Lonchura striata: one gene and its partners. The main gene of each other region encodes a partner of the protein of the gene in region 2 in a complex. Links are inferred from orthologs where the notes say so. Each region holds a gene or a part of one and is shown on either strand. Other genes may lie near its edges.

Region 1 (9,615 bases), on a different chromosome or scaffold from region 2:
TGTTAGAAGTCTTGTATTAGCTTCTCAAATTTCCACGCTCCCTGCCTTTTCCCTTCTTTTCCACTTCATTCTGTTTCCCTGCATGTAGTGAAATCTTATGGATTTTAATGTAATTCATATTTTTCTCTTCCATTTATCAACCTTTCCTTTCTTTGCAGACTGGTTCTGAGCCATACACTCAAGGACGAGTGGAGGAAGCTCCCGTGAGCAGTGAGAGGGGTGACGAGCCGGCTCGTCATGTCTTCTCCTTCTCATGGTTGAACTCACTGAATGAATGATGACTCACTCTGGCTGGCTTCTGGTGTGCTTCTCTTCGGAAGGACTGTGAGCACAGGCAGCCTGGCTGCAGTCAGCAAAGAAACTGGCCTGGGAAGGGGCATCTGAACAGATTTCATTCCTGGGAACTCAGCTGACCTCCACACCATACCCTTGAATTGACAGGGAGAGAGAGGGGAGCATAGGGACAGATTATTTTATGTGTTGTAGTCAGAGTGTTTTCCAATAAGTTTTTGCTTCCATGGGGGAAGAGGCATCACTACAGCTTTAGTCTGAGCACTGCTAGTGTTTTGTAACTCACTTGATGGCACATCCCCATGTAGGTGTAAACACTTCACCAATGTTCTTAGCTAAAATGCTGGTGTGATATTCTCTAGTAGCATCCTTTGCCAGAACAGTGTTTCTCTTCAGGATTCTCCTACGTCCCCTCTTGTCAGTGCTGGTGGCTTCAGTGACACTCTTATGTCCTTGGCATCCCCAAGTTGGGGTTGTGTCTTACAGTACTGGTGCGTCCCAGGCTGCAGAGGCTGAACATGGGAGGGAAGAAGGAAGCTGCCATTTCTTCCTTTTCACTTGCTCTTCCTACTAAACCACAACAGATGACGCTTGCAGAAACACATTATTTGTAAGGAAGATTCCGAGTGGCAGGACTGAGGAAGAGACACTTACCAAAAAACACTGGCCAAGACCCCCACACAGCTTTGAGTATGTGGGGCAGTTGCTGAAGTGCTGCCCAGTCTTTCCAGCCGTTCCCTCTGTCCATGTCTTCTCTGCTGTCGGTGTGTGTACAAAAGGGGACATGTTCTTACATTAAACCAGGGTGCGATAAGGTGGTCACAGGTATTCACTCAAGGTTTAATTTGAAGCTGTGCTGTAGAAAAGGCAGATGCTGACTTTCCTATTCCGTGTGCATTGTAGATGTTGAGCCATCAAATGAAATCAAATTTGTGTCTTAAAAGAGGCTCTACAAGTTGTACTGAAGGCATCACTCTCTGGTTCTTGTCACTGGGAGTAGGTGTCAACACTCAGCAGTGTTTAAGAGATTGGCAGGCTGCCGGGAGTGCTTGGTGCCATAGGGGACCAGGTGTCAAGCTCTGCACTAGGGTTATGTGTGGATCTTTCCCAAATCCCCGAGCCAGGCCCTCACTGTGCTGTTTTGGCAGGGGCCTGTGTGGGGCCATAAGGCTGTGCTGTGCCCCAGCAGGACTGGTGAGCTGGCAGTGCAGACTGGTTAGCATAGCAGGCTGTGTGGGGTCAGCCCCTGTCCTGGGCACCCGTTTCTACCAGCCCTCGTTGGTATCTGTTTTCCCTGGAAAACTCTTGAGAGAGTTTTGCAGAATGCACAGGCAAGCTCCGTGCGAAAGCTTTGGAATTCGCACAGCCCAGAACGAGCGCCGCCCAGCACCGCCACCGCATCGCCTCCGGCTGCTGGAGCAGCTTTTCCCTGGGATTTGGTTCGGGGTGAGGGATTTACTATTTTCTCCCAGTCGTCCTGGAGATTTCCCCCAGCTCCTCCCGGGAAGTTTCTCCACACCCACTGCAGCCTCCCTAGAAGTCCCTGGGAGGGACCCAGGGTGGGCACGGCCGACGGGACGGGAGAAGCCGAAGCAGGGAGGAACCTGCCCTTTTGTGGTGCGGGAAGGGTGCGAAAACGCAAAAGAGATGCGGGAGCGCCTCACCGCTTTCCCATCGGTGCTCCCCGGCGGGAGGAGGCTGCCCGGTCCCGGACACAGCGGCAGGAGCCAGGGAGCTCCCTCGGGAGGCTGCAGAGGTGGGATTCGCCAGCTCGGGGGGGCTGATTTGGCCCTCGACGCCCCCTTCCCGGGAGCAGCCTGCGCCGAGCGCGGCGGCGGGAGCAGCCCCCGTCCGGGGCCGGCGGCGTCGGGGCGAGCCTGCGGGAGAGCCCGCGGATACAGGCCGGGGGGAAAACATCCCCGGGGAGATCCAGGGCTCCCCGCGGCTCTGGGTGTCCACGGCCGCGGGTGTCCCCCCGCCCCGGTTAGCGCTGAGGGAGGCGGAGCAGCCCCCAGGCGTCTAGGCAAGAAAATCTATCAAGGCATCTTTACTTTGCAGCTTTTATTAAAAATATAAATATTAAACATTCTCTTACACAACCAAATCGACCGAGCGCTGAAAAGATGATTTATTGTGAAAATGTTTACAGGAAAAAAAAAGTGGATTGAAAGTAGCTTACAGAGATTCCCCCTCCCACTCCCTGCCCCCAACAGAAAAGTTTTCTGTCTTCTTGGCACCATTTCTTCCAATGCTCACACATCCCTACGTAGCGATGGCACTAGAATAACTGGGAAATGGAGAAATAAATAAAGGTAAGGGAGGTTACAAACGACACTCGTGTTTCTGCACTTGGTACACGGTTGTGCATGCTAGTCAAGGGACAGAGGCTGTTCGGAGTACGCCCTTCTAGGTTTAAAGCTATATAAAAATAAAGAGATGACATCAGAGCAGCACTATGGTACATCGGACGGTGTAATTATTCTTGTGCTAACTGCGGAATCTCTTTGGCAAGGCGGGGAGGGGCCGTTTCACTTCCCGATTATCTCCATCAGTTTCCTGTTGCTGTGAGCTTGCTGCGCTAACTGCTCGGCTCGGGCCATCTCCAAGACTTCTCGCAGGAGGTGGAAAGTCAGATCCAGAGAAATAGGGGGTTCTTCGGATCGCTTCTCCCTCTCCACCGCCTCACCCTCGGCTTCCCCGTCCTCTCGGTCCCCCGGCGAGCGCTCGGGCAGCTGCTGCAGCTGTTGAACCGCCGCCCGGAAAAAGTTGCTGGCGGAGGCTTCGGGCTGTAGGTGGCTGGTGCTGCTGGAGGAGGCGGAGAAAGAACCAACGGGTCTCTTGTGAAGGTTGCCCAGGCGCAGGAAATACTCTTCTCCCATGCGGAGCAGGACGGGCAGAGTTTGCTGCTGCTGCTGCTGCTGTCGCTGCTGCTGCTGGAAGAAATCTGGCTGGTGCAGAGCCCCAGGGGCGGGTGCCGGGCTCTTGCTGAGAGCTCTGCACTCCTGGCAGGGCAGGAGGGCGACCAGCAGGATTCCCGTGGAGACCAGCAGCGGGATCTTCATGATCGGGGCCCAAACCTGCGGGGGCAGACGGGGGACGGGGTTTGGGTTACAAAGCCGAGCCGCAGCGGCGGGAAGGGCAGCGGGCGGCCGGGGAGGGGGCGTCCCCACCGCCGCTGTCCCGGTGCTGAAACGCGCCGCTCCGCGTCGCTCCGCGCCCCTCCGTTCCCCGCACACCACCCCCGGCTGCGCTCACCCCGGCCGGTCCACCCGCGCCGTCGAGGCGGCCGCTCCCCGCGGAACAACCCCGCGGAACAGCCCCGCGCGGCGGCTCCGCGCTGCGCCGGCAGCGGCTCCCGGGACCAGGCTGGGCTGAGCCCCTGCGGAGCGCTCACGCGTGTTCGCGACCCGTGCCCCTTCACCCACCCGGGGAGAGGGGGAACGTGGGGTGCCTGTGGCGGGGCGGCTCTCCCCACGAGCTGTGGGGTTTAAGCGCCCGTTCCCCGCCTCCCCGCTCCCTGTCCGGCCAGGACAGCTCCCCGTGTCCCGCGGGACGCGGCGCTCAGCCCCGCTCAGCGCAGGGCAGCGCATCCGCTGCGCGCCCGGCCGCGGCCGCGCACCTACCTGGGGCGGCGGAGGCGGCGGTAGGGCAGGGCGGGCGGCGGCGGGACTCGGCGGTGCCCGGCGTCCCTTCCTCTCGCTCTCCCTCGGAGCCGGCTCCTGGCAAACTTGGGATCAGATTTGGTACTAATCAGAGCCGGAGCGCGGGATTTTTATAGCTTAGACCCTCTCCTGGAATCACGCAGAACTTGCCTAATAAGCTGACGCTCTCCCTGACAGCCCGATTGCGTGCCCCGATCTACTGCTGAATAAATCATGGGGGCCCGTCGGAGCGGCGATGGGCCGAGTTTCGCTATCGCAACCCCAAATCTCACGTCCAATTATATCAACAGATATTTATCGCCTCTGCAGTGACGTCAGCCGGGCCGGGGGCCGGGGAGCAGGATGCCCCCCCCACCCCATTGACAAAAATACTTGAATGAGATTTCCTAGCGGGCGCGTACTATGAGAGGTCGCTCCGGGGAAACTTTCCACTCACGGGCCGGCCCGCGGGGAGGGACCCGACCCGAGCGGGGCCGGGGCTGATATCCCGAGCAATCTCCTTCTCCATCCTCGCTCTTTCCCGGCCGCCCGGCCTCCGCCGCCTCCGAGCCCGCCCTCACGGACGACTGTGGCGGGTGGGCAGGAGGCCTGCAGGGCGCGTGTTTTGCGTGGGTCCGGTCTTCGCTCCGCTCCCGGGGTCGGCGCGGGCCGGGGCAGCGCTCGCCCCGCGAAGCGGACAGGGGCGCAGCCGAGCCGCGGGAAGAGGAAGGTGCCAGTGCCGGCAGGGACCCGCGGCAGCGCTGGCACCGGAGCTGCCAGGGACCCCGCCGGCGGCAGAGGGGGCGGAAAGGCCCCGGGGGTGGCGGGGAAGGCCGAGACAGCCGCCAGGGCTGCCTGCGAGCATCTGCCGGGGCAGGGAGCGTCGCCCGGGGGGCGCTCGGCTCCTTCTGCCCCGCCACCGATGGCAGCGCCGCCGGCTCGTCCCGGCGCCGGCTCCGCGCTGCCGGCGCCCGCTCCCGCCGTGCGGCCCGTGCTCCTCTCCATTGCTCTCCCGCTGTTTGCGTGGAGGCAACAACTGCTCTTTTTCCCCCTTCTCGACTCCACTGGCTGATCTTCCCCACCTCTTCAACGCCATGGCCTTGTGCTTTCCCTGTTTGCCCTCCTCAGCTAAGGCCTTCCTCTCCAGCCTGTCCTAATCCCACGTGGAGCTTTTTCGAGGTGTTCTCCCATGACCAGTACATCTTCAAGCTCCAGACCGCAGTACATCAACGTCTCCACCTGGGTTTCTTGCTCTCTGATCTCTTCAAGAGGAAGTGCTGCCGAACTTCTAGAAATAACTTTTGCCCGACATCCATTCCATGTGTAATGTGTGGTCTTCCATTTTTGCATCCCATCACCTTTGCCAATGCCTTTCAGTCCTCTTTCTCCACTGCCTCAGTTGAAACATCAATCATTTCCTTCTCTTTAAGTTGGAGAACTCTACAGAAAACCTATTGGTTTTATCTTGCCTAGACAATAAACTCCTGGGGTCACACACTTGAGTGTTTCCCATCATAGTGAGGAGTTGGGACAGAACAGGTGGTCACATGCTATTGATGCAAAATGATAGATCTGAACTCCATTTCCTTAATAAAATAACAAAGTAAAAACCACTTAATGTATGAGGTTGGCCACAGACCAATTCTGAGCATCTCTTTAGGGATGCTCTAAACTTCAATTTTAGTTGTACCTAGCTCCAGCCTCAGATGCACATTTTGCAAAGTGCCAAAGAATCAGATCTTATGCGTCATGAAGAAACAAATGGAAAAACAGAGATTTAGTACCAGAGATTTAGCTCTTCATTACCACTTTTTGCTCAGGCATTCATGAACTGAAATGTGTATTACAGAACAGAATATATTGTGTAGCTAGTCACAGCATCAGTTATTTGTATGCTTTTAAAGCATGTCAGCATGGCTTTCAGTGAGAACAAGAGGTTCAAAGAAACAGGAGCTAAGTTCAATCAATTGAAGGAAAATGTTAGAGGTACTTATTAAACTCAAACCCTTTAGATGTGCTCTGGGTTGGGTTTTATCAGTGTCTCCATTTTTAGGTTTAACATACTGCTTAAAAACACAAAAGCCTCTTAAAATAATGAGATCATAAATGTAAAGAAAGAAGAATTTTTATCAGAATAATAATTTTTTTTGTGTTAGGGGTGAGGTTTGAATAAGACAGAGCTGCATTTCTCCAAAAGATTGATGCCAGTGAGAAATGGCACAGGTTATGTTATGTTTTTAATAATTTACAGTATTATTTAGGTCTCTTTAGGCAGACAGTTTTGTCCCTTGAAGAAATCCAGGTATAGCAAATGCAACAGAGAAGGAGGCTGGTATCCTCAAGTTTCTACAAGAGCTGTACAAGATGCCAGTTTCTTTTCCTCCATTTTTCTCTCACCCCTGGCTCTGAGTATGGTCCGCAGTGTCTCACACAAGCTTGTTTCTAAGCCAACATGGTCCTATTACCCCACTTTCCTCATAGATCCTGAGTGATGTGTGAGGGCTTGCAGCAATGCAGGGAACACTGTGAGACAGTCGGATGTCTTGATAATGAGGAATATAAAATATCACAGATACATAAACCAAAAAAAGTACTTCCTTCAGCACTTCAAATGCACAACTGACTACCTAGGAATATAAAAGTCCTTTCCCCACAGTCACTAGTTTCTGAGTGAAATGTCAGCTGTCACTTCTGAAGGAGATTGCAACAGAAGAAATCTTGGCTTCTCAACAGAGGGGTGAAAAAGGAATACAAGGAGGATATGAGGTACATCTGGATTTAGAGATTTTTGTTTAGTATTATAGTTGGAGATTAGCATACCCTTCATAAGAAAAGTGTTCATATTTGACTCATTCTGCAAACATCAGGAGCAAACAGAAATTTTAGTGAATCACAAAATAACTGTCTAGAAATAAAAAACACTATTGAGAACCATTTCCTCTCCTCTGACTCGGGTTGAGTGCTCTTGCCCTTTAGCCTTGGTGATCTCAAACTCAGGCACCTACTGAAAAGCAATTACAGCTGCTCTGAGGTAGCTCAGGGAAAGCAAAAGCATGCCCAGAGCATGATGCACCCCCCGCAATAGAGCACCTTCGGGTTTCTGGAGACGTTCACCTTGTTCCCTTGTCTATAAAGGGAGTGCAGACAACCACCTTTGCCTGCCCACTGAATTCTTAGGCAGCAATGTGAGGTGAGAAGAATCCCCTCCTCACTGACTGACCATAGCAGAGAGATCACACAGTTCTAAGTATGGTAATACAGAGGGGATGATGTTAAACTGAGGTTATGGCTCTTACCCCAGGTATTTTTGAAGATGCCCAACTACAAACGTGGAAGGATGCACACCAGATGTAGATCAACTTTCTACCACAGCGCAATATTTCATTGCCACTTTGTCAGAAGGCAGCAAGGATTTTTTGCATTGGTGAGTTCAGCAAACATTTCCACATCTCACAGTACCCCTTCATGTGATCCCCATCGTTCTTGATCCATGTGGTCAGACACACGATCTTACAGTCTGACTATTTCAGGTGAACTCAGCTCATCTCACCCACTCTGAGATGCCAGTAATCATGCACTGACATGTGTACATCACACTTCCATTTCACCTTTTGGTAGTCTTGATACAAAGAAATTTGTATCTGATAGTTATAAATATTATGGATTCTGGGACAGCTGAGAGAAAAAGAAAAATTAAATTCAGGGTATCTTACTCTGCCTGAAGGTGATAAGTCACCTTAAGAACAAAATACATTTGCCTATTATTCTTCAGCAGACTGAATTTGCTAGAATAATCATAGATAACCTCAATTAAAGTGAGTTATAAAAATAAATCAAAATAAATCAATTATATACAAAAAAGTATGTTGTAGACCAGGATGAAAAATTAAACTGATAAGGATTTCAGCTATCTGCCCTTGCTTCTGACCCCAGAAGTCTTCAAAATTCTCTCCTTCACTTTTAATTTCTCTTTCATTTTTCAATCACATTGCTCTGGGAAGGAAGTCACATGCTCCTGTCACAGAGATTTTCTGTGGTGCACCTCAGTCTTACAGCAGAGCTCCACCTATGATTTGTATCAGATTTCCCTACAGTCCCATGAGAGAGAGAGTAAAGCACTTTAAATTCCCAAACTTTCCAGTGGGAAAAACACGCTAGAGGGTGAAGAAATTTATCAAATATCTGTCCAGGAATTGTGTAAGAAGTAGGAGTGAGTCTTGCATTATCTGAGACCAAGCTCAACCAGAGGACTATTTTCATTCACGACTTCATATTCTTACTCTTGATCCTTGATGTCTGCTTACAAGATGTAATTTTATGTGTTTGGGGGTCCCAGCAGAAGGAAAAATTCCTTAGGAATATCCTCTTGGTTCCACCATGTCTGGGAGGAGCACAGCCGTCCCCAGCAGCTCACACACGGGTGGATTTGCAGGGACGGTCTGACCCCCAGTTGAGCAGGGGCAGTGTGCACTGCTCAGGAATCCCAAGCATGGACCTACTGTCCCAGCCAGAGCCTTCCCTTCACCCAAAGCCCTGCCTGTTCAATTCCCACCAGTGAGGGTAACACGGGGAGGAGCTGCTCCCATACCCTCTTGGACACGCCTAAAAGCACTTCTGGAGGCCTCACAGCATTGCTCTCTTCTTCTGAGCAGGGAAGGGACTTGCAGAAGCTGTGAGCAGCATGGAGGTGGGAAAGTGCTGTGCCTCTCTCCTCCTGACAGCCCTCATCCAGGGAGACAACAGCTGACCTTTATATTTACCTCACAAGACTTGTCAGCTGCTATTCTTGCTCTCAAATAAGGGCTGGAGAAGGCTGCCCAGGCACATGTGTGAGCCCGCTGTGCTGTTAATGATAATGCTACAGGAACTAATCTCAGTTATTGGTAACACCAAGGAAATCCATCAAACAGGCATGTCCCAGGAGCACCAAGCAACGGGTATTCCTGGTTGTCTTGGTGTCTGGGTACATTTGGCCATTAAAGAAATTTTGCTGGTTAGCTGAGTACCCAGTTTGTCTGTCTGTCCTTGGTGCAGAGTGAGGCAAGGACAAGGACAAGGATCTGCGTTTGCATCTGGCACGCATCTGGAACAAGCCACTGGGATATCCAGGCTCACAGTTCAGAGTGGCAGAGTGGTACAGACACAATGGATAGCAGGGTATGGCTGCAGTGAGCAAAACAGGGGATGCTGAGCCACGGGAGGGCAGGCACTGGGCCAAGGGGAAGTAGAAGAAACCAGGGTGGAACTTCAGGGAAGGATAGGGAGGGAACTCTACAGTGCCTCTCCCCAGGAACAGCTCTGTCCCTGGAGGTTAGAGCCCAGAACTGACCCTGAACTTGGGGCAGGGAGGGGGGGCACAGCTAGCCCACAATGGTGTAACCAGCATGGATGGCAGGCTTGCTCCAGGAAGTCTGTGAAGAACTGTCCACAAAAGGCCAGGAGCAGATGCGAGCCTGTCTGCCCAGCTAGGATGTCCCTGTGGGAAAGTCCCCTGGGCCACCGATGGCTTCAGCCTTCAAACACACCACTGACACCAGGGACCCTGCTTTGATCTTAGCGTGCGCAGCACCAGGGCTGTCATCGGCCATTAGTGTCAGCAGCAAGGTTTGGTGCATTTTGCTCTGACACTGGAGCCATGTCACGAGCCTGGGGGAGCCAGGCAGCCGGGGTAATGGATCCGAGC
Region 2 (10,973 bases):
ACCTCACACAGTCTGGAGCTGGCCTTGAATAACTAGGAAATCAGGCCTTCCTGCAGCCCTGCATCAGCATGAATGGAGTCTGACAAGGCTCCATTTTCCCTAGTGAAAATAATTTCTGCCAGCAGGAATTCCCTCGTAGCCTGAGGTCAAACCAAAGCCTGGATGTGGGAGATGCCTCTGGCTTCTCATCCTAGACAGCTTGGGACCTGCACATGGGAATTGGAGGAGGAAAGAGGAGAGATTGGCAAGAGAGAGGTACTCTATTCAGTGAGACAGGAAAGGAGGAAAAGCACGATTTTTCCTCCTCTCCTCTCCTTCCTCTCCTCTCCTCTCCTCTCCTCTCCTCTCCTCTCCTCTCCTCTCCTCTCCTCTCCTCTCCTCTCCTCTCCTCTCCTCTCCTCTCCTCTCCTCTCCTCTCCTCTCCTCTCCTCTCCTCTCCTCTCCTCTCCTCTCCTCCTTCCCCTTCCCCTTCCCCTTCCCCTTCTTTCCTCTCTCCTTTCTTTCTCTTCTTCCCCTTCTTTTCTTATATTTTCTTCTACATCCCAAAAGGGACCTGCCCTGCTCTGAGGGCAGCTGTGCCCTGTTCTTGGCTGCTCCACAGCAGTGACCTGTGCACTGCCACAGCAATGCTCCCTGTGCCTGCAGGGACCATGAGCTGCCATGCACAAATTTCCCATTCACACACGGTGCCACCTCAGCACATCCAAGGAAATATGAGGAGAGGGGAAGTAGATCCCTGTGCAAACTGGATCCCTTTCAGCAGAGCAGATTTGAAATTTCCTCTTTCCCCTGTAATAAATTGCAGGCCTTTGGTTGGCCCTTACTCAGTGGTTAATTATTGCTAATGAAGGAAAAATCCTGAGCAATGATGGAGTAAAATATGCATCAGGAATACAGTTAGCAAACTGCTAAAACCTTAAAATCTCTGGGATAAAGCATTATATATATACTAATAATCTCTGGACTTTTCATGGACTGAGGAACTTTACAGAACAAGAGGGCAAACCCAAAGACATCCTAAATAAATGACTGGCCTTTGTCCCCAGCTGAAGCACTGAGGACCTACAGGATCGTAGTTAACATGTGCCTGGAGAAAAACATTTGAAAAACGATTTTTACCTATGTGACCAAATTATTTTATGACCACAACTATTAAACAAGGTACTCACACCACTTTCCATGTCACCTGCACACTGGCAACAGCCAGAGAAACAGAGATGGCAGAAAGTTTTTGGCCTCATCAAATGTCGGGAGATTATCTGTGAGATTATTGTACAGAGAAGATGTGACCCAAACACATGAAGAAAATGGGCTGAGAGGTCACAAACTGAACAAAACTTTGCCAGATTCTTGTTGGCTGCATGTGCAATCCCTTTAGTACCAGCACCATCCAGTGAATAGTTTCCAAGGCCCATTTCAGGAAGACAGTGCAGCATCTCTTCTCAGACAGTGGCCGAGTCCAGTCTGAGGCTGCATCACCAGGAAAGCAGATGGAACTGGGGCCTTGTAGGAGCTCTGCAGCAAGACTTCCCCTCTGGAGTTCCATTCCCACCAGGCTGCCTGTTTCCATCATGCTGAATGGCTGCTCCCGGTGCCAGCCGCCACCACCTCCAACACATCCACCGTCTGCCTTCCCTCCATTCCCAGCACAGTGGCTCAAGCTGGCTGGTGCCTTGGCACCAACCCACCCTCTAATGCACAGGAGAAGGAAGGGGAAACCTTCAAAGAAATCCCACCAACAGCTCTCACAGAAAATCTTCAGACCAACCTGAGCAATTTCCTGATCCAAGCCCTCTTCATCCTCTTCCTTGCACGGTTCTGCTTGGCCTGCCAAGTCCTGGGGACACCAGGTCACTTAGTCTCTGCCCTTTATGCCAGCACAGAGATGTCTTTTATAGAATTCTACATTGCATTTGGAATTTTATTTCATTTTTATTTTGCTGCTTTTTGTTGTCTGTGTTGAGGCTCTGTGCGTCATCTCTTCTCAGTTTTATTTGATTGCCTTTTGGAGATGAGGAGATTAATATTTCATCAAACATACAGGGAATAAATAACCAGATTTGAAAGACATCCAGAACCTTTCCTACCCTGAGGGCTACTTGCAGACCTGAGAAGTGGGGAAGTATTTTTACCACAAGCTATTTCTGAGAACGTCACAATCCCTGCTACAATCTCTGCAGGACATTTCCACCACCCATGACATGTCCACATCCATGATGCTGTGGAGTTAACGCCAACAGGTGTGAGTGCAACACTCTGGATATGCCCATTCTTCTGTGGGAGGGCTCAGCCTGGAGAAAAGGAGGCTCGGGGGGACCTTCTGGCTCTCCACAACACCAGCGGGGGGTGGGGGGCAGCTGGTGGAGTTGGGCTCTTCTCTCAGGGAACAAGATACAGGACAAGAGGAAATGGTGTCAAGCTCTGCTAGGGGAGGTTCAGGTTTGACATCAGGATGAATTTCCTCATGGAAAGAGCTATTAAGCATTGCAAGGGACTGCCCAGGGAGGTTTGGAGTCCCTATCCCTGGAGGTGTCCAAGGACATGTCACTCAGTACTCTAGGTTTGGTAACAAGGTGAGGATGGGGCACAGGTTGGACTCCATGGTCTGGGAGGGATTTTCCAATCTTATTATTCCATGATGCATGGAAGAGTCTCTGTACATCCTTGTATATCCATAAGAACTCATGTACATCTGTACAACAACAGACAATGCAGCAGAATTGTGATGTGTTCCTATGCTGCCAGACACAGCTACAAAGAGGCTCAAAGCTGACAGTGTTGTGCATCTCTGTGTCACACACGGTGTGAAGACAGAGCCACTTTCTGCTGCTGCTTTGGTGGGATCAGTTTCCAGAATAAAACCATGGAGTTTTTCCCAACCACAAACCACTGTGATCTGTTTGATGGGAAATGCCAACTGCTGATTGGGAAATTTCAGTTGACTTTGCTTTGAATGAGAAAAATAATAATTATGACTTTTATTATGATCAGTTTAGCATTCTGCCTTGAGGTTTAATTAGCTGAAGAACAAAAGCTTTTGTGTTTCTGTTATATTCAAAACTGACACATCCTCCCAAAAGCAATTTGAAAAACATGGCAAACACTTTTGAGAAACTTGGGAAGCAAATGAGAAATTCAGTTAGATCCCAAATCTTTGTGGGTTTCCTTGAGTTTGCAGTTGCCATGTTTTTGTAAATGTGGGATCTCCTATTAATGCACACAGTGTGGGAATTAAAAATGGCAGGGGGGATTTATCCGTGTAAATGAAAGAATCAGTCACTTGCTGCATGGAGCAATGAGTCAGAGTAAACCCAGCTCCATGTGTCTGAGTTTTCCTTCTCCCAGCAGGACACTAGTTTGTCTTCCTGCATGGACTCTTCTGCATCTCCAGCAGAGTTTGACGGGACGAACAGGGGTCTGAAGTGTCCAGAGGCCACCCAAGCATTTGCAAGGCCTTCAAGAAAATCTGCCAGCACAGCTCTAAGGTAATACTCACTGAATGAGGTTGGTAACAATCTTTGGTTTCTTTCCCTGCAATGTTTTCAGCAGGGCTGTGGCTTGAGCTTTCCTGCTCTTCGTTTCAGAGCACCTGAGATTTGCAGGGGTGAAGCAGGTGATACAGAGTGGTCAAATACAACAGGGATACTCAAATATGAGGCATGATTATACTATGTGGTAAGCAGGAATGAGAGGAACCTCATCCCAGCAGCTACTTTCTTTAGTCAGGCAGAGTTTGAGAGAGTGTTCCCCTCACTGCAGGTCTAGGAGGAGGGAAAAGGACACAGGACAGAAAACCTGGAAACTAATTTTAAAAGCGGGGCAAAAAACAAGTCTCCTGGGAGAAACAATGTGGTGGGTTGGATTTTTTCTTGGCCTGCAGTTGCTAACACAGCCCCATGTGCTGACAGCCTGTCCTCCCCTGAGCAGTGCCCCGAGCATTCCCAGCTGCACTCAACCTCCTGGGAAAGAAACAGTCCCAACACACAGGTGGGGAAATTGAGGCACACTGCTGATCTCAGCTGGGATTTCAGCTGAGAAGCTAAACCTCACCTTTCCACCAAACTGGCCTAAATGTCCAGGACACTGAGGATTATTTTCTCCTACAGATGTCCTAGCTGGAAGCAAAGCCCTGCTACCAGTGCTCCATGGGAGAAGCAAGGATGCATTTCCCTGCACCCTTTCAGTGCACGGAACAGTCCCAGTCTCATCCCTATACTGCAGGAGGGACACATGGAGTTTTCCCAAACCAGGTGAAGGTTGGCTGCAGGGACAGGGTGGGAGCAGGGCAGTGGTGTAAGTCCTGCAAACAGCCCCAAAGTGCAGCTGTCATGGAGCTGCTCAGACACAGGACTGTCAAACCACATGGAGTTACATAAAATAATAGTTTACCAAAGGCAGGTAAGTCAGACTCAATCTCTCCCTCCTTCCTAGATATCCGATATTTCTCTTCATTGTCTCCATCCCTAAAAGCCATATCCAACATCTGTCTCTGCACTGCATCGAGAAGTTTGAGATTAACCGTGACAAATGGACTGATTTCTGTGTCTCAGGGACTGTTCTATTTTTCCTTTGCCACATCTGACAAGTTGCATTTTACTATAAATCCCCTCAATTAGGTGCTTTAAACAACACTGCAGCCTTTTCCCTGATATATGGGGAAGGAATTATTTTCATGTCCCTGGCAACCAATTCCTTAACTAAAAATAGTGCTCACTTCTGCCTTCCTTGCATCACCTCATACTTAGGGCACCTGAGCAGAGCATGGCCATCCTACATGTCCTTCTTGCTGGCCATGGGCAGGCTGAGATGATGAAAGACAATCCTTGGTCTTGGTGTGGGAATAAGGTCTCTTGTGCTTCCCATTGCAAGGTCCCTTCTGTCCCCTGGGTGCACAAAGCCCTGAGCAGCCTCCAAAACCAGAGTGTGTTTTGTGACCAGGAACTGTGCCCTAGACCTGTGATGGTAGAAGGTGTCCCATGGCAGGGGTTTGGAACTACATGATCTCCCAATTCAAACAATTCCATGATCCTGTGATGCCCTCAGCTGAATCCAGGATGCTCAAAATTATTTGGAGCAAGCTTTCTCAAGCCATTTGTAGAAAATTATGCATTTTCCATGGGCTTATTGAAGTGAGAGGTAACACAAGGGTGGCTCTGGAGTCTGTCTCATCCCATACTTGTCACAGGAGGGATGTTAAGATATCTCAGAAACAAAAGTTTGCTGAATTTACCAGAGATTTAAATATTTTCATATTTCTTTGTCAAAGCAGTGACACAATTGATTTAACCCAGCTAACGCCAAAAGATTTATGTCTGTGTTGTTTATTCCCCTTAATTACTGGGCCAGGAGCATTTACCCTTTGGGGGCCAGGATGGGTCACTAGGTGCCCCCACATGCTGGGACACAGCCCTGCTCAGTACTTGTGCCTTGGTCCTGCAGCTGCAGGTGCTCCAGAGACAAAGAGCAGCTCAGTAAAGATGGATAGAGGCTGTGGCCGTGAATTCATCAAGAGACTCTGCCCTTCTATTGATTTATCTGCAACCTGCTGTGGTCTGCAGCCATTCCCAGAGGCAGAGCCTGCAGCTGGGAGCACAATCCAGCACCCTGTGAGAGGCTGGTGGTAGATGAAGCGTCATCAGCTAAGGGAAATATCACACCCCTAGATGGTGGTCCCATGGCAATATTTTCCAGCATCCCCCCTCCCAGCAGTACACCTCATTGATCCTTATTTCCTCAAGGAAAGAAGGAAGCAACAATCTGTTGCCTGGCTGTCTGCCCCAGCTCACCTCAGGCTGATGGAGCTGGGCTCACTCCCAGGATACGCAGAGCACCCACAGTGGGACACCCCCCTAAACCTCAGTGAGTACAGAAGGCATGCTCTGAAACTGCCCTGGCATGGGGGAGCAGGTTTAACCCAGCCTACCAACTCAGGGATGGACACAATCCTGACCATATCAACCCCGGGACACAGGGGTGTGTGGAATCCCTCCCCAGGAGACCAGGAGATGGCTGCCAGGGAACTGCAGGAGCTGAGACACAGAGGTGTGACAGGAGACCCTTTAAAGCCAGAGGGTTATGCTAGGCGAGAAGGGACATATCATTATGCAAGACCTCAGGAGCATCATCCAGGCTCTCCCACACCACTGTTCCCCACCCTTCCCCCCCTTCTCTATCAGTTCAAACCCCACCTGCTCCTGTCCCATCACCTCTGCCCCTGCCACCAACCCAGCTTACGGGACAAAGCACGGTGCTAGCAGCACCTCCACTTCCTCCGGGTCCACCCTTGTGATCAAACATCCCTCGCACAGTCCCGCTGTGTGGAAGACCCGAGTCCACCTGCCCCACATCCCTGTTCTTCCCTCAGGAGCCTCTCCCTCGCAAGGCAGGGCTGAAACCCCTTCCACCCCATCCCTGTGGAAGAGAAAAGGGGCTCTGCCCTCCTTTCGTGCTCACCATCCGTTTTGCAAAGGGGCTGCAAAGGCTGACGGGGGGGACCTGGGAGAAACTGGGACACTTGTCCCAGTTCCTCTGACAGAGCCCTGGAGCGAAATCCCCAAATGTGTAACACCCGCTCATCCCCTCATCCCCGGCAAATGCAGCCCCAAAGCCTTCGCAGACACAAAAGAAGCCGCCAGGCTCCACAGGAGGGACCCCACAGCGTCTGCACGATGGGAGTGAGAGGGGTGGAGAGGAGAAACCCCCTCCAAGGAGAGGCGGGAGGGCGGTCCCTGGGCCGGTGGGAAGTTTCTGCTGCTGAAGATGCTGAGGGAGGGAAGGAGAAAAGGGGGGCGGGGGGGGAGAAATCAAATACAGTTGGAAGGCACCAGGGAGGTGGAGGAAGGAAAAGGGGAGGAGGAAGAGGAGGAGGAGGGAGAGAAGGGGGAGTGGGAGGCTGGTGAGGAGGGATGTAGCCCATCGCCAGGCGAGCTGGAAGGTGGGCAGCCGGAGGACCGGCTCCGAGGAGGTTATAAAAGGCAGGACCGGGACGCAGAAGGACCCGCAGCCTCCGCGCAGCCCTGCGGGACCCGCCAGGCTCCTTCGCTGGAAGCCCAGAGGATTGTCTCCCCGACGGCAGGAGCAGCCCGGCAGGAGCGGGGACGCTGCCGGCCATGCCCCGGGGAGCTGGGCGCAGGGGCAGCTGAGGATGGTGCCCAGCCTACGTCCTGCCCTCCTCCTCCTGCAGGTAAGATGCTTTAAGTCCTCTTCTCCCATAAGGGCCCTTCTGCCCCGTCCCCATCACCCCTACGCCGTGCATCGCCCGCGTTCTCCGCAGTGACTTTTCAATTTCTTTGACGGGAAAAGTAGGAAGAGAAACCGCAACACAAAGGGCCCTCGGGAGAATTCCTCCAGTCGAGGCACTGGGGTTTAGCAAGATCTCGTGATGCTCAAAGACTATCGGGGAGGGGGGCTGAAGTGAGTGAAAGGATCATTTAAAGGGGGGGAGAATCGCAGCCAGGTCCTCCTGAACTCACCCCAGGGCTCCCAGTAACTCCCAGCCTTGCACCTCCCAGTGAAAACAGCTGCCACCAGTTTCCCAGGCTGCTGGGAGCGGGTGGCCACTCTGGGCGTGTGGTGGATGTGGACAGTGCAAATGCACAGTCCAGTTGTACCTCCCATAATTAATTTTCTAAGGAACCCTCTCCTTTACTGCCCTGCACCTGCAAAGCACAACACTTTTTCTCTCTAATTTGCTTGCTGTGGAACTGTAGCCACTGCTAATTTTGCAGCTCTGCACAATATGCAAATGCTTTGTCAGAAGCAATATTCCTCCTCCTTGAGGGCTCATCAAGGAGGGAAACATTAACAGCCCCAAAGCTTGTTTAAATCCCAAGCCATGGACAAACAAGATGAAGGGTCTCCCAGTGAAATCTTGAATTTTATTTGAACAAGCCTAGAGTGGCAGTTAAACAAATTGATCAGGTTTCTGATAAAACCTCTGTGTCAAGGAGGGGTAAAAGAACAAATCTGCCTGACTGGCTGCAGAATGGTGTCTCAGTGGCCCAGCTGGGACTGCAGAGTTAAAACAGCAGGTAAAGTGGAGGGAGAGCTCTCCCCATTGTCACCACTACGGCTTGTACCCTGCAGGCTGTGCACCCCACTGTTCACTCCAATGCGTATCTCACATGTCAGCTGCACCTCTGGGCCAGGAAAGTTCTTACCTAAATGATGAAAAGAGCTGATGAGCACCAGGAGACCTCCTGCCTAGTTGGTGTTGCTTCTAAAAACTCTTCTGAGCAGCTGCTCTCTCTTATTGCTGTAACCCACTAAGCCTGATTGATAGGGTTTATGGGAGCTATTTTGCTGTTACTTTCCCTGGTTCAGGTTTTGTTGGGCTCTGATGTAAGAAATAAAGCTGACACAGGGCAGGATCTTTTCCCCCAGCCCAGGTCCTTCTTGGCCAGTCTAGCACAGACCCAGTGCAGTAAGATCATGTTCTGGTGGGGAGAGCCACGTGAACATGACAGCTCCTAATAACTTCGGTGAGCAAAAAGTGGTACAAAAGAAGCCCAGAGGTGCTGATACACAGCTTCCATCCTCTGTCAAAGCTCCTTAGGCTCAGGGGGACTCCCTTGCCATCCCCAGGTGTTCCCCAAGGATATTCTCCTTGTGAAGGTGGAGCAGCAAATCTTCACAAACCTTCCAGATTCTGAGACAAAACCATCCCTGCACTCTGGCTGGGACCAGGAGAGAGGGGTCAGAAAAACCAGACCAGACAAAGAGAAGCCTCTCCAGCTGGCTCCAAAAAGAAACAGCCAATCTACAACTACCCCCCCCCACCCCCACTTTGCAGTCAAGCTGTCTATTTTTCCTTATAAATACATGCATTCAAATCTCAGATGTTTTTCCAGAACAGTCCTAACCCTCTCTTGGGGACAGCATGAACTAAAGGACCATGAAACTCCAGCCATGAGTGCATCCCTGCAGCCAGGTATAGCTGCAGCAGCATCCTGCCTGTGAGTGCAGAGACCTGCAGCAGCCCAGCTCCAACCCAGAGCTCAGCAGGGACAAACCTCCCCTGCAGATACTGGGTTGGCACAGTTTAGGCGTTCCCCGTGCACCTGGTTTGTACCTCCACTTTAGCATCAGTTTGCCCATGTTGCTTTACTGAATAGACATCCCTCAGGATGTCGGACAGACAGACTAGGAGATAGGCAGCCAAACTTGCTGCCAAACTTGCTGCCAAGTGCTCCCTGGCACCCTTGCAAGTCATTGAAACAAACTAAAAAAGTGATTAAAAATAAACCAGTCCACTTGCATCTCTGTCAGGAGCCAATGACATTTCTGTGGCTGATAGAACTGCAAAGTGTTTTATGAAAAATCAGGGATTGATGATTTGGTTTCACTTGACCACCTCCAGCAGCAATAAGCCCAAAAACAACCCCTGCTCCTTCCATGCTTGAATCCTTGCATAAAATGCAGAGCTGCAGTTGCAGGACATGCTGACCCTGGGGATCTCTTCCAGTCCTTGCTTTCCTTAAAAGCTGGAGTTGATTCAGTGTGTATGAAATCATCCCTGTGGTTCTGCATCTCCAGCAAAGAAGTGAATGGAAAAGGCACAGCCTGTTCCCAGAATAGCTGCACTATCACCACAGGATGTATAGGAATACAATGAGAATATCCTGCACCACCAGCTCAACCCTGCCCTGAAATCCAGCTCTGCTCCCAAAATCCTGCACAGGGTTAGCCTAGAAGTTCATTGTGAGTGACAAGCTCAAGCTGCAATTGAGTCTGCAGTGCTTAGAGAGGCTGCATCCATGGATTTGTCTGTGAGAACAGTTTTTGAACCCAAAGAAAGCACAAATCAACCCCCAAATCATGGGGTTCCCTCACAAAGCAGAGCCCAGGAGCCATTGTCCAACACCTCAGAGCTGTCACTCAGGAGAGGGTGGCTCTTTCTGAAGATGGAATAACATAGCCCGGGCCCATCTGTTGTTTTTCCCTAACTGTATTCTGAGCTATAGAAGAGACCCTCCTTCTCTGCTTTATCTACAGTCACCCTCCTAGGAGGAGTCGCCTCTATTTCAATGGCCAAGGGCAAAGTGTGTTGGTATTCTGCAGATCACAGTCCCTCTTCCACCCTGAAATCTGCAGTATCCACCCCAGCAGATGCAACTTTGGTGTGGCCAAGCTTTCCTGAGCTGTGAATGTGAATAAACCAGAAAAAAAAATTATGGGGAATTTAATTGTGGATGTTCAACCCTAAAAAGGTGATGGGTGAACGAGGGGGTTTGGGGCAGTCAAGATGAGGGTTTTGGGACAGAGCTGGAGGGAAAAATGTCCAATCCCAAACTGAAAATAGCTGTCAATACACAGGAGTTCCACATGTACAATCTGCAGGAGAGTTTAATAAAATTGCCTTAGAAAAACAGCCCTCCCCCAGGCTTGTGCCCATCACTCCAGTCTTCCTCAGCAGCCTTTGCCCCTGCAAATCCAGATCCCATAGGAGCTGAATGGTTGCATGCCCTTTCCCAGCTTGACGATGCCTTTAGCTTCCAACACCCAAATGCCATTTGTCATTTTTTAACCTGTCCCTAAAAATTCATGTCTCTCACGACAGATAAATGAAGTCAGAATTATTTATGGCAAGTGACAGAGACCCGAGCTTAATCCAGGAAAACCTTTAATTGCTCATAAATCAGTTTTTACAGGGCATTATTTAGCCTTGATTGATATTCTTTTGTTAGGATCTGCATCCAGCACACTTGGAGAGAGACTGCAAACAGAATAAACACTCTCACCAAAGCTCCTGTTTACACACCACAGAGACTGGCCATCTAATACAGATAAATTAATAAACTCGCAGATTTTAATGCCAGATGGAGGATGGAGATGTTCTCACTGCCTGCTCTCCCGCTGAGGAACACCAGCCATGGAAAAATTCCCCCACGAGTCTTGCTTTGAGCCTTGTTCCATTGCCTGAGCTTTGCCTTGATGTCCCAGTGATGGCAGGGCTTGGAATGGGGCTTTGGGAG
Region 3 (8,727 bases), on a different chromosome or scaffold from region 2:
AGCATCTGCTGCACGAGGAGGAACTGGAATGTTTTGGGATACCTACGTGTATACTTGCCTAGTGGGAGGGAAGGAGGAGGGAGCAGGCTCTTCCCAGTGCAGCCCAGTCACAGGACCAGCAACCACAGGCACAAACTGGCCTCCAAAAGTTTGGGGTTTTTTTGCAGCGAGGCTGATCACAGAGGGTGCCCAGAATAGGCTGCCCAGAGGGGTTGTGGTCCCTCCAGCTGGGAAGGCACCCACGGCTGCGTGAGGGGCAGGAGGTCCCTAGGTCCCCACTAGCCCCAGCTCTGTTTGTCAGGGTGTCCAAGTCAGTGTCCAACCTGGTATAAATATCTCCTAGGAGGGATCGTCCCACTACAATCCTTCTTGCCGCAAGGCCTTCCAGCTCCAGGGTACTGATGCTCTGGTGGAATTTCCCCATTCAAGTCCCAGTGGCCACAGCATGAGCAGCTGGAGCAGGGCCTGGAGTGGGGAATCTCCAGCCTTGAGCTCATTCCCAAAGGCTGTGCTCCCCAACTCTTTTGCCCCTTGGTACAGCTCCCTACCAGAGCCACGGGGTCACTGCAAGAGCTCCTGTGAACTCGGGGGGCTTCACACTCTGCTGGTGTTATGAAGCCCTGCACCCCTGCCTGTCTTGAGCACTGACTCCCCTGCTGTCACATCTGCGCAGTCCTTCCAGGCACTCCATTAGAAACAGGGCTCCAGCTCTGCCATGCTGCCCTTCCAGCAGCTGTTGGGATGCTATCAAAGAATTTCTGGCTGGTTTAGGTGGGAAGAGACATCCAGTCACATCCACAGCCACCAGCAGGATCACTTTCCACAGAGCAAGTGGTGAGGACCAGGGCCAGCCACAAGGAGGCTGAACCTCCCCCAACTGCCTCAGAAGGCTTCATCCCTGTCCTCTGATTGAGGGCCAAGGAACACAGCCCACCACAGTGCCCCCCTCCCACCCACCACTCCAGCCCTGACCCACTCAGCAGCACTGAGTGTCCCGTGGAGGTTTCCTCCCACTCCTGGAGCTCCCACATCGTGGCCATATCCCCCCAAAGGGTCTGTGTCTGTCCCTCCCGCAGCTCCCAGCCTCGCCCACCATCCTGGGGCAGGATTGCTTCTCTGCTCATGTCCCCACCTGTGGACACGTGTGTGCAGACGCCTGTGACTGGCTCACTGGTGGTGGGGACCCATCGTTCCCATCCCTCTGTCCCATTTGCTTCCTACTGCTCCCACTCCTGGGGAGCTGTGAGCATCGCCTCCCCCCGAAGCACATGGTGTGTCCCCCCTGACCCAGAACACCCACGGCCTTGTTCCAGAGCTGGGGGGTTCGTGCTGCTGGCCCAGCTGCTCCTACCCAGCCCTGACCCAGCTCATGCTGTCTCCCACTTCTGAGCCCTTAGTCCCTTTCCAGTGAGCCCTTTCCCTATTCCCAGTGAGTCTGTTTGTCCCTTCCTGGTAAACCCATTCCACCACTCCCAATGAGTTGTTTCCCCATCCCTGGTGAGCCCCCTCTTCATTCCTCATAAACCCATTCCCCATTCCTGATGAGCCCATTACCTTGCTCCCACTGAGCCTCTTTCCCTGTTCCCACTGAGCCTCTTTCCCCATTCCCCATTTCCAGTGAGCACATTCCCAGTTTGCCCAGTCCCTGGTCCTGCACAGCCCCAGCTGCCCCCACCCCTCACTCGCTCACGCCTCGGGTTTCCACCACGTTTTATTACAAAATCGGTGCGGACCGGTGCCGGGCCGGTTCCGCTCCCGCTCGCCGCAGCGCTGGGGCTGAGGCGGGCTCAGCCCGTGCCGGTGTTGGTGCCGAGCGCCGCACAGTGCAGGGGCCAGGGTGGCTGGAGGCCGGTGCAGCCCGGGGTCATGGGGGGTTCGGGGTGTCCGGGGATGCCGGGGTCTGGGGTTCAGCGCCCCACGGCGTCGAGGATGCGGCGATTGGAATCGGCGCGGGCGCGCTGGCTCTGGGCGCGGGCGAGCAGCAAGAGGTGCCGCAGGAGGTGGAACGTGAGGTCGATGGAGAGCGGCGGCTCGTCCCGCCGCCCTCGCCACGGCCCCGGGGGCGGCGGCGCCAGCGGCGGCCAGAGCGGCTGGTCCTGAGCCCCGGTCCCGGCCGCCGGGATGGAGCCGTCGGTGGTGGCGGGGCGGGCGGCGGCGGGCGGCGGGCGGGCGAGCAGCAGCAGGAGGGTGAGCAGTGCCCGCCGCATCCTCGCTCCTTCTGCACCTACGGGGCAGGGGCTTAGCGCCGCAGCAGAGACTGGGGCGGCGGCGGAGGCCCGACGGGAACCGCGGCCCCGGCGGCGCGGGGACGGTCCCGGGCGCGGAGCCCCCTCCCGCCCCGTTCCGCCCCCTCTGCGCGCCCCGGCCCCGGTGCCGTCCCTGCCCGGTCCCCAAGCCCCGTCCCGTACCCGGTGCGCTGTGCCCGTGCCCTGTTCCTGCCGGTGCTGGCGGCGCGGCGAGCGATCCGTCCCGCGGGAGCTGAGCCGGCGGCGCGGCCGGGGGTTATATCGGCCCGGGAGCCCGGGCTGACGTCAGCGCCGGGCACGCACCGGGCGGCGGGGGCGGGGGAGAGGGGGCACCGGAGCGGCGGGGAGCGGGCACCCGGCGGCGGGACGGGCTTGAGGGACGGAGGGGCGGAGAGGCAGAGCCCGCTCTCGCCGGTTTCGGGAGCCACCTCTCCGATTCTTTTCTGACGCCCACCAGAGAGGCACGGCGGGGCCGGGGCCGGTGAGAGCAGGTGCCTTGGGCCGTGCTAACCCTCGCTTCCCCTGTCCCCCGGTTTCCCGGTCGCCCCGTTCCCTCTCCCGGCTCTGCCGCATCTCCGGCCTCATTCTCCGCCGCTGTCCGCGGTGCTGAACGGCCGGGACGCGCTGGGGCACCGGGGCCGGTGGGCTGTACAGGTGAGCTCCCGGTGAGCCCTCAGTGAGCTGTACGGGGCTAGCCGCGGCTTCTCGGCGTGGAGCCCTTGCGTTCCCGGGCGGAACGGCCGCGTCGAGCAGCGGCGTCCAAGCAGCGATCGGGGCGGGAGGGACTCCTGGGCGGAGGTGGGGATACCCCAAGCACCGGCAGCTCCGGGACGGGGCGGTCACGGGTGGGACCCCCAGCCTGGCCGTGGCTCAGCGTCCCGGGCGGAGCGGGCGGTGCCGAGGTCGAACCGCGGGGCCGAGGCCGCAGACGCCCCGAGCGCAGCGGCGGCATCGGCCAAGTCCTGTGAGTCATAGAATGAAGGCACCGGAGCTGGCAGCGCCGTGCTGGATTCAGGGTGTTCCGTCGGGGCACCGGCACCGCTGCCAAATGGTGAGGTGGCTGCTGGGGCTCCACACTACTGCCGGCATCCCCCCGAGCGCTCCCCACCGCTGCCGGCAGCCCCCGAGCGTCCTGCGGCTGCCGGCCGAGCGTAGCCGAGCTGACACCCAGCGCCGACGCTGCTACAGGGGCAGAGCAGCGGGGCAGTGCCGGTGCGGGGCACAGCCGGGCACAGGGGCTCAGCCCGGCCCCTCGCACGGTGTGTCCCACCCCGGGTGGCACAGGGGCGGCGGGGCACGGCCCTGCCCGCAGCGAGCAGCACACGGTGTCGTGCCCCCATGACGTGATCCGGCATGAAGGCTGGCACCGGGCACCGCCTCCTGCAGCGGCAGGGCAGAGCCCTCAGCAGGGGCTGGGCTCAGCCCCCCGAGCCCTGGCAGCCCCATGCTGGGGCGGCTGCTCCTGGGGACAAGTGGCTCATTCCACGTGGCTCTTGCCATGCTCGCAGCTCTCATTGCTGACAGAGAGAGCCTCCAGCACCCCCAGAGGGAGCTGCAAGAGGCTCAACACCTCAGAGCTGCAAATTCCTGCCACCCACAGCACCCACCCCACTGGCTGTAGAGGACTTGAGCCCCACACAGAACCCCCCAAGTACTGGTGCCATCCGTGCATGGCCCCATCACCTGGCCCCAGCCCTGTGCTGCCCCATTGAGCACTGCTGGGGGAAAGGGGGCTGCAGCTGCAGCCCCTCCAGTCCCCTGCCTCACCCCTCAGCACTGTGCAGGATTTGCCTCCTCTGTATTCCAGGTTGTATCCACCCGGCCGGAGCAGCCCCAAAGCTGGGGCCAGCACAGAACCAGACCATGGGGAGGATGAGGGTGGAGGACAGACGGTAGCACCCTCCATGAAGGCCATGCTGGCAGGGCCCCGCTGGCTCTGTCCAGCTGTGTGGGGCTGCAGGAGCACAGGTGAGGGGGCCAGGGCCCAGGGCTCCACAGAAATGGGAGGAACCCCCACGGTGCCACCAGCTCCACTTGGAGCCCCTGGTTGGGATGTGCTGGGCAGGAACACTGTGGGAGCTGGACGCTGTGAGTGTGCGACACTGTGTGCTCGCTGCCACTGCAGGATGAGCGTGGACACACATCCCCAGGGGCAGCAGCACAGGCAGTGGCAGCTCCACGGGGCTTCTCTCTGGCATGACAGGCAGGCTTGTCTCAGACATGGCACAGGTGGATTGTGGCCCTGGCCCAAATCCAGCTCCAGCCCTACCCCCAACCCTTTCTGGACCCTCCCCAGATGCACAGCCTTGTACCAAGCAAGCCCTGACCCTGGGGGGACTCTGCACCCAGCATCAGGACTTCGGCTCCATCGACCTCATTCCAATGCTCTGCAGCTGCGGAAGGACCATCACAGCCCATGGAACAGCTTCAGTAGCACCTGATGAACCCCTAAACCACCACCCACCCTCTGTCAGAGTCCCCTCCCCTCTCTATCCGGTGGGGCAGACCACCCCAGCCCGCAACCCCTAGCCCCATGCTCAGTGCCTTGACATGAGGTAGAGTGGACCTGTTGATCCTTAACAGGACAGTTGCCCTGGAACAGCACTTTCAGGGCCTGGGGGCATGCTGGCCACAAGCCCCAGGGCCCCAGGAATCAAAAGTGAAGACAACTGTTTATTGATGCTTTGACTGTCCACAGCAGAGCCACAGCAAACCCTGTTTTCAGGGGAAGCATCCCCAGCCTGCAGTGAGCCCAGTTCTGCGCCCACAGCACAGCCAGCCCAGGCCAGCCCTGCTCCATTTCCACTCCTCTTTTCCCTCGGGATGTGCTGTGGGGAAGGTCAGAGTGACACTCAGGACAGGAGCACCCCGTGTGCAGGGCTTGGAAATGGCTGAGCACAGAGAGAGAAGTGCACCGTGGGCAGAGTCGCTGCACAGCATGGCTGGAGCAGATCCAGGCCTGTCCTGGCACCATCTTCTCCTTGGGGCAGGAGGCCGTGGCCATAGGGGATGGTGTTCCCCTGAGAAAAGCGCAGGATGGCTGCTGCAGGACCCCGTGTATCCCAGCCTGCCCACGGCCATGCGTGCCCATGGCCAGGGCTCCGAGTTGTGCTGGTCTGGAGCGCACAGGCCGGGCACAGGCACAGGACACGGATTGTGCCTCACATCCGATTCGCTTTCCAGGACAGGTAGCAGTTCCAGACGATGGCAACACATTGGACAACAGCCAGCCTGGGGACAGAGGAACAGGGTCTGCAGCTGCCGGCTCAGGGGGCACGGACTGGGCACCAGGGCCGCAACACTACCTGTGCTGCAGAGGCACGAAGTAGAAGTTCGCAATTTGCACGGGTGGCCAGATCTGGGCAGAGAAGAGGAGGAGCGGTGAGGAGCCCTGCCAGGGTCCCTGTCCCACACCCACCCCTGCCTGGCACTCAGGGTGTCCCACAGAGCCCACGGCAGCCCCATGGAGGAAACGGACAGGGACAGGGACACAGATGTGCGAGCACTCACACAGTAATTGGTCATCAGGGCATCCATGTAGTCCTGGAAGAAAAAGGAGCTGTGAGCACTCAGGGCCCCCATCCTTGCCGCTGGTGCCCTAACTCCACACTGGAGTCCTCCACACTGCTGGGCACGGAGCCCCTGCAGCCCTGCCCATGCCTTCCCAGAGCCATGAGGGTGGCAGGGAGAGGGTGACCAGAACCATCCCCACTGAGAGCCCTTCGTGCCATAGCCAGGGCACATGGGCCCATGGCTTGGCCCCCCAGTGTGGGCTGTGAGCCCCTTTCCAGCTCAGTGCTCCCCCAGACCCCTCCTGGGCACCACATGGCAGAAACGGAGAGGGGCACTGAGCTGGGGCAGCTGCTCCAGGAGTCCAAGGTGCCGCCTTGTCCTCGTGCCACAGCCACGGCCGTGTCGCATCCCTGTCCCGTGGCAGCAGGACAAGTCCCTCCTGCAGCTTGGCCGTGACTCAGCCAGGAGGCCGGGCTCCTCCTGGCGCTGGCCAGCAGCCCAGGACGGGGTGAGCGGGCGCGGGGTGATGGATGCTCTGCTGACGCTTCCTCTGCGTGGGGAGAGGCGGATGCGCCCCAAGCCAGGGGTGAAGGTGCTGCCAGCACTGCTGCCCATCCCCAGCCCATCAGCCCCTTCCAGGCCAGGGCTCCCAGGAGCCACAGCTCACACGAATCACCAACCACGGCAGGATTCCCTGGGGAAGGCAAGGCAGATCCATGGCACGAGCTGGTCAGGATGCAGCAGGGGAAGATGGATGGGAGCACTCAGAGTGCTGCCTGTGCCCACGATCTGTTCACGCGTGCCCTTAGGGTGCCTTGGAGCACCCCATGCCCAGCTGTAGCTTGCATAGAGCCTGACAAAAGCAGAGGTGATGTGATCCCGCCCTGGGATCTCCTTCCTGCGCTCTGGGGCGGGATGAGGGGCACATGCTGGCAGCCCAGTGTGTAACAGGCTGGTGACTGGGTGCCCCCACACAGAGGAATGAACACTGGTGGTGGCACCTGGGCAGAGCTCCAGCCAGGCTGGGGCCGTGCTCAGGCAGCAGCAGTGAGAGAGGCTGGCGCTGCCGCTCCTGGCAGCCACGCGACCACCCCAGCACTCCTCATCCTGTGGCAGGTGGGCACCCACTCCCCAGTGACTCACACTGGACACGCTGACTCAGTGTTCACACCGGTGTCCAGCAATTACTGTTAATGGGAGTCATCTTGGTAATTGCTCCGGAGGCCCAGCCAGGAGCTGGGCTGGACAGCACGCTCGTGGCACCCATGACTGGCCCAGGTGGGACCCCAGGACTCGCCCACAGGACACCCATGCCAGAGGAACTGGCCCTGGCACCAGTATATGGACTGGCAGCACTGGGCACCCAACACGCCCAGGGCCGTGGGACACAAGTGGGAGCAGCCGTCAGGGCCAGCACACAGGAGGAGCTGCCAGGGCCCCAGGGTGCCCAGGGCAGCAGCACATACCTGCTGGATCTTGGACCAGTTCTCCTGCACCGACAGCCCGTTCGTGGCCCCTGTGACAGCCAGGAAGCAGCCAAGGAAGCACGGAGCGAAACCCCCCTGCGAGAGAGGAGCCCCGGCCGATGCTGAGGAGCTCATGGTGCTTGGAGCCAGGCTGGCCATGGGCAGCCTCTGCCAAAATGACCACCTCAGCCCTCCACGGCAGCGAGGCTGGGCCCAGCTCAGGCACTGGGCTCTCAGAGCAGGCTGGAAACTTGCCACAGGGACTATCCTGTGTCCCCACTGCCCCACAGTCCCACACATCCTCACCCATGTCACACCAACCTGGTCCAGGATCACCTTCTTCACAGCCACAACTTTTGTATTCCCAGGGATGAGCCAATCCAGAATCCTGTACCAGCTGCCCACAACAGGGCCCTGCAGGAGCCAGGGGGTGAGGAGCATTATCTGCCCTCACTGGTCACAGCGGTCAGGGCTGAGGGCCTCCAGGGCAGGTTACCTGGCCCTGCTCCAGCTCTGGACCACAAAGACAAGCTCATTCTATGCTGCTCCTGCTCCATAGAACTGGCCTTGCCATGGCCGCTGGAGGTGGCATCAGGGTGGCCCAACTCACAGTCCACCACCACAGTCCCACCCTGCTGTAGGAGCCATCCCATCCCATCCCATCCCATCCCATCCCATCCCATCCCATCCCATCCCATCCCATCCCATCCCATCCCATCCCATCCCATCCCATCCCCACTCACCACAAAGCAGAAGCCAATGCCCATCATTTTCAGGGTGCGGAGGCAGTGGTGCCCATGCAGCCCCCGCTGCTCCACCAGCTGCTGTGCAATCACATCTCCAGCTCCCATGAGGGCCCCTGCAACCAGCACAGCCCATTTAGGCAGGCCAGACCCCCGTGTGACTTGCCCCCAGCTGGGCCCCCTGCCCCAGGATGCCTGAGCCTGTTCCAGCCCTGTCCTAGCTGCAGCTCCCCAGCCTGCACCAAAGCCCATGGCACAGGTGTCCCGCTCTGCCAAGTGCCTCAGGGCTCTCACCGCAGCATCTCTGGTCAAAACGGTCCAAGCTGCACCTCCTCCCAGTGACCCAGACACGGGGCAGACCCATCACCCAGGCTCCACGGCGCTCTCAGAGCAGAGCAGAGCCCGCCCAGCTGCTGCCCATGATCTCCACCGCAGCCTTTCCCACAGCACCCCCAAATCTCTCCCTGGACACCGGGCAGGTTCTGCCGGCTGTGATCCCCTCCCTGGAGACCAGCTCTCTGTCTGCATCCCCCACTAGCCGGGATGGGCAGAACGTGCTCCCCGCTGCCCCAGCCCTTGCCACAGCTGGCTGCTGGCACAGCTCCTGGCCCTGTTTCTAGATCAGTGTCCCTGGTGGGGTGCTGCCCGGCTGGGTCTCTGGCAGCTCCTGCTCTATCCTACACCCCTGACCCCTTCGACGCAACTCAGCTGGCCCAGTGCTGCCCCTCCAGCTGCTCCCCCGGCCCTGGCGGCTCCTGC

The links.
Region 1: the proteins of CRHR1 (region 2) and CRH are in contact, whole or in part, in a cryo-EM structure (PDB 6P9X), measured with the Homo sapiens proteins. The link is inferred for Lonchura striata from reciprocal best matches to the Homo sapiens genes CRHR1 and CRH. Residues at the interface, in NP_004373.2 of Homo sapiens: Lys113, Tyr116, His117, Ala119, Val120, Asn123, Trp169, Val172, Gln173, Met176, Ser177, Pro178, His181, Thr192, Tyr195, Asn196, His199, Phe203, Phe260, Gly261, Lys262, Tyr267, Tyr272, Gln273, Met276, Ile277, Leu280, Tyr327, Phe330, Phe331; in NP_000747.1 of Homo sapiens: Glu156, Pro157, Pro158, Ile159, Ser160, Leu161, Asp162, Leu163, Thr164, Phe165, His166, Leu167, Leu168, Arg169, Glu170, Leu172, Met174, Arg176.
Region 3: the proteins of CRHR1 (region 2) and UCN are in contact, whole or in part, in a cryo-EM structure (PDB 6PB0), measured with the Homo sapiens proteins. The link is inferred for Lonchura striata from reciprocal best matches to the Homo sapiens genes CRHR1 and UCN. Residues at the interface, in NP_004373.2 of Homo sapiens: Leu106, Asn107, Glu109, Lys113, His117, Val120, Asn123, Trp169, Val172, Gln173, Ser177, Pro178, His181, Gln182, Thr192, Tyr195, Asn196, His199, Phe203, Phe260, Gly261, Lys262, Pro264, Tyr270, Tyr272, Gln273, Met276, Ile277, Tyr327, Phe330; in NP_003344.1 of Homo sapiens: Asn84, Pro85, Ser86, Leu87, Ser88, Ile89, Asp90, Leu91, Thr92, Phe93, His94, Leu95, Leu96, Arg97, Leu99, Leu100, Glu101, Leu102, Ala103, Arg104, Thr105, Gln106, Gln108, Arg109.

What each region holds. Positions count from the first base shown.
Region 1 is NC_134603.1:35,190,362-35,199,976, reverse strand, and holds CRH (corticoliberin), read right to left. Parts: upstream 4,208-9,615; 5' UTR 3,915-4,207; intron 3,369-3,914; 5' UTR 3,354-3,368; coding exon 2,820-3,353; 3' UTR 2,338-2,819; downstream 1-2,337. Other genes in the region: TRIM55 (tripartite motif-containing protein 55), read left to right, coding at 159-278. UniProt on the Homo sapiens protein: Hormone regulating the release of corticotropin from pituitary gland. Induces NLRP6 in intestinal epithelial cells, hence may influence gut microbiota profile.
Region 2 is NC_134627.1:1,367,774-1,378,746, reverse strand, and holds the start of CRHR1 (corticotropin-releasing factor receptor 1), read left to right. Parts: upstream 1-6,767; 5' UTR 6,768-7,144; coding exon 7,145-7,183; intron 7,184-10,973.
Region 3 is NC_134605.1:113,705,846-113,714,572, reverse strand, and holds UCN (urocortin), read right to left. Parts: upstream 2,208-8,727; coding exon 1,908-2,207; downstream 1-1,907. Other genes in the region: mitochondrial inner membrane protein Mpv17, read right to left, coding at 5,408-5,477, 5,552-5,604, 5,757-5,789, 7,226-7,321, 7,547-7,639, 7,969-8,076. UniProt on the Homo sapiens protein: Acts in vitro to stimulate the secretion of adrenocorticotropic hormone (ACTH). Binds with high affinity to CRF receptor types 1, 2-alpha, and 2-beta. Plays a role in the establishment of normal hearing thresholds.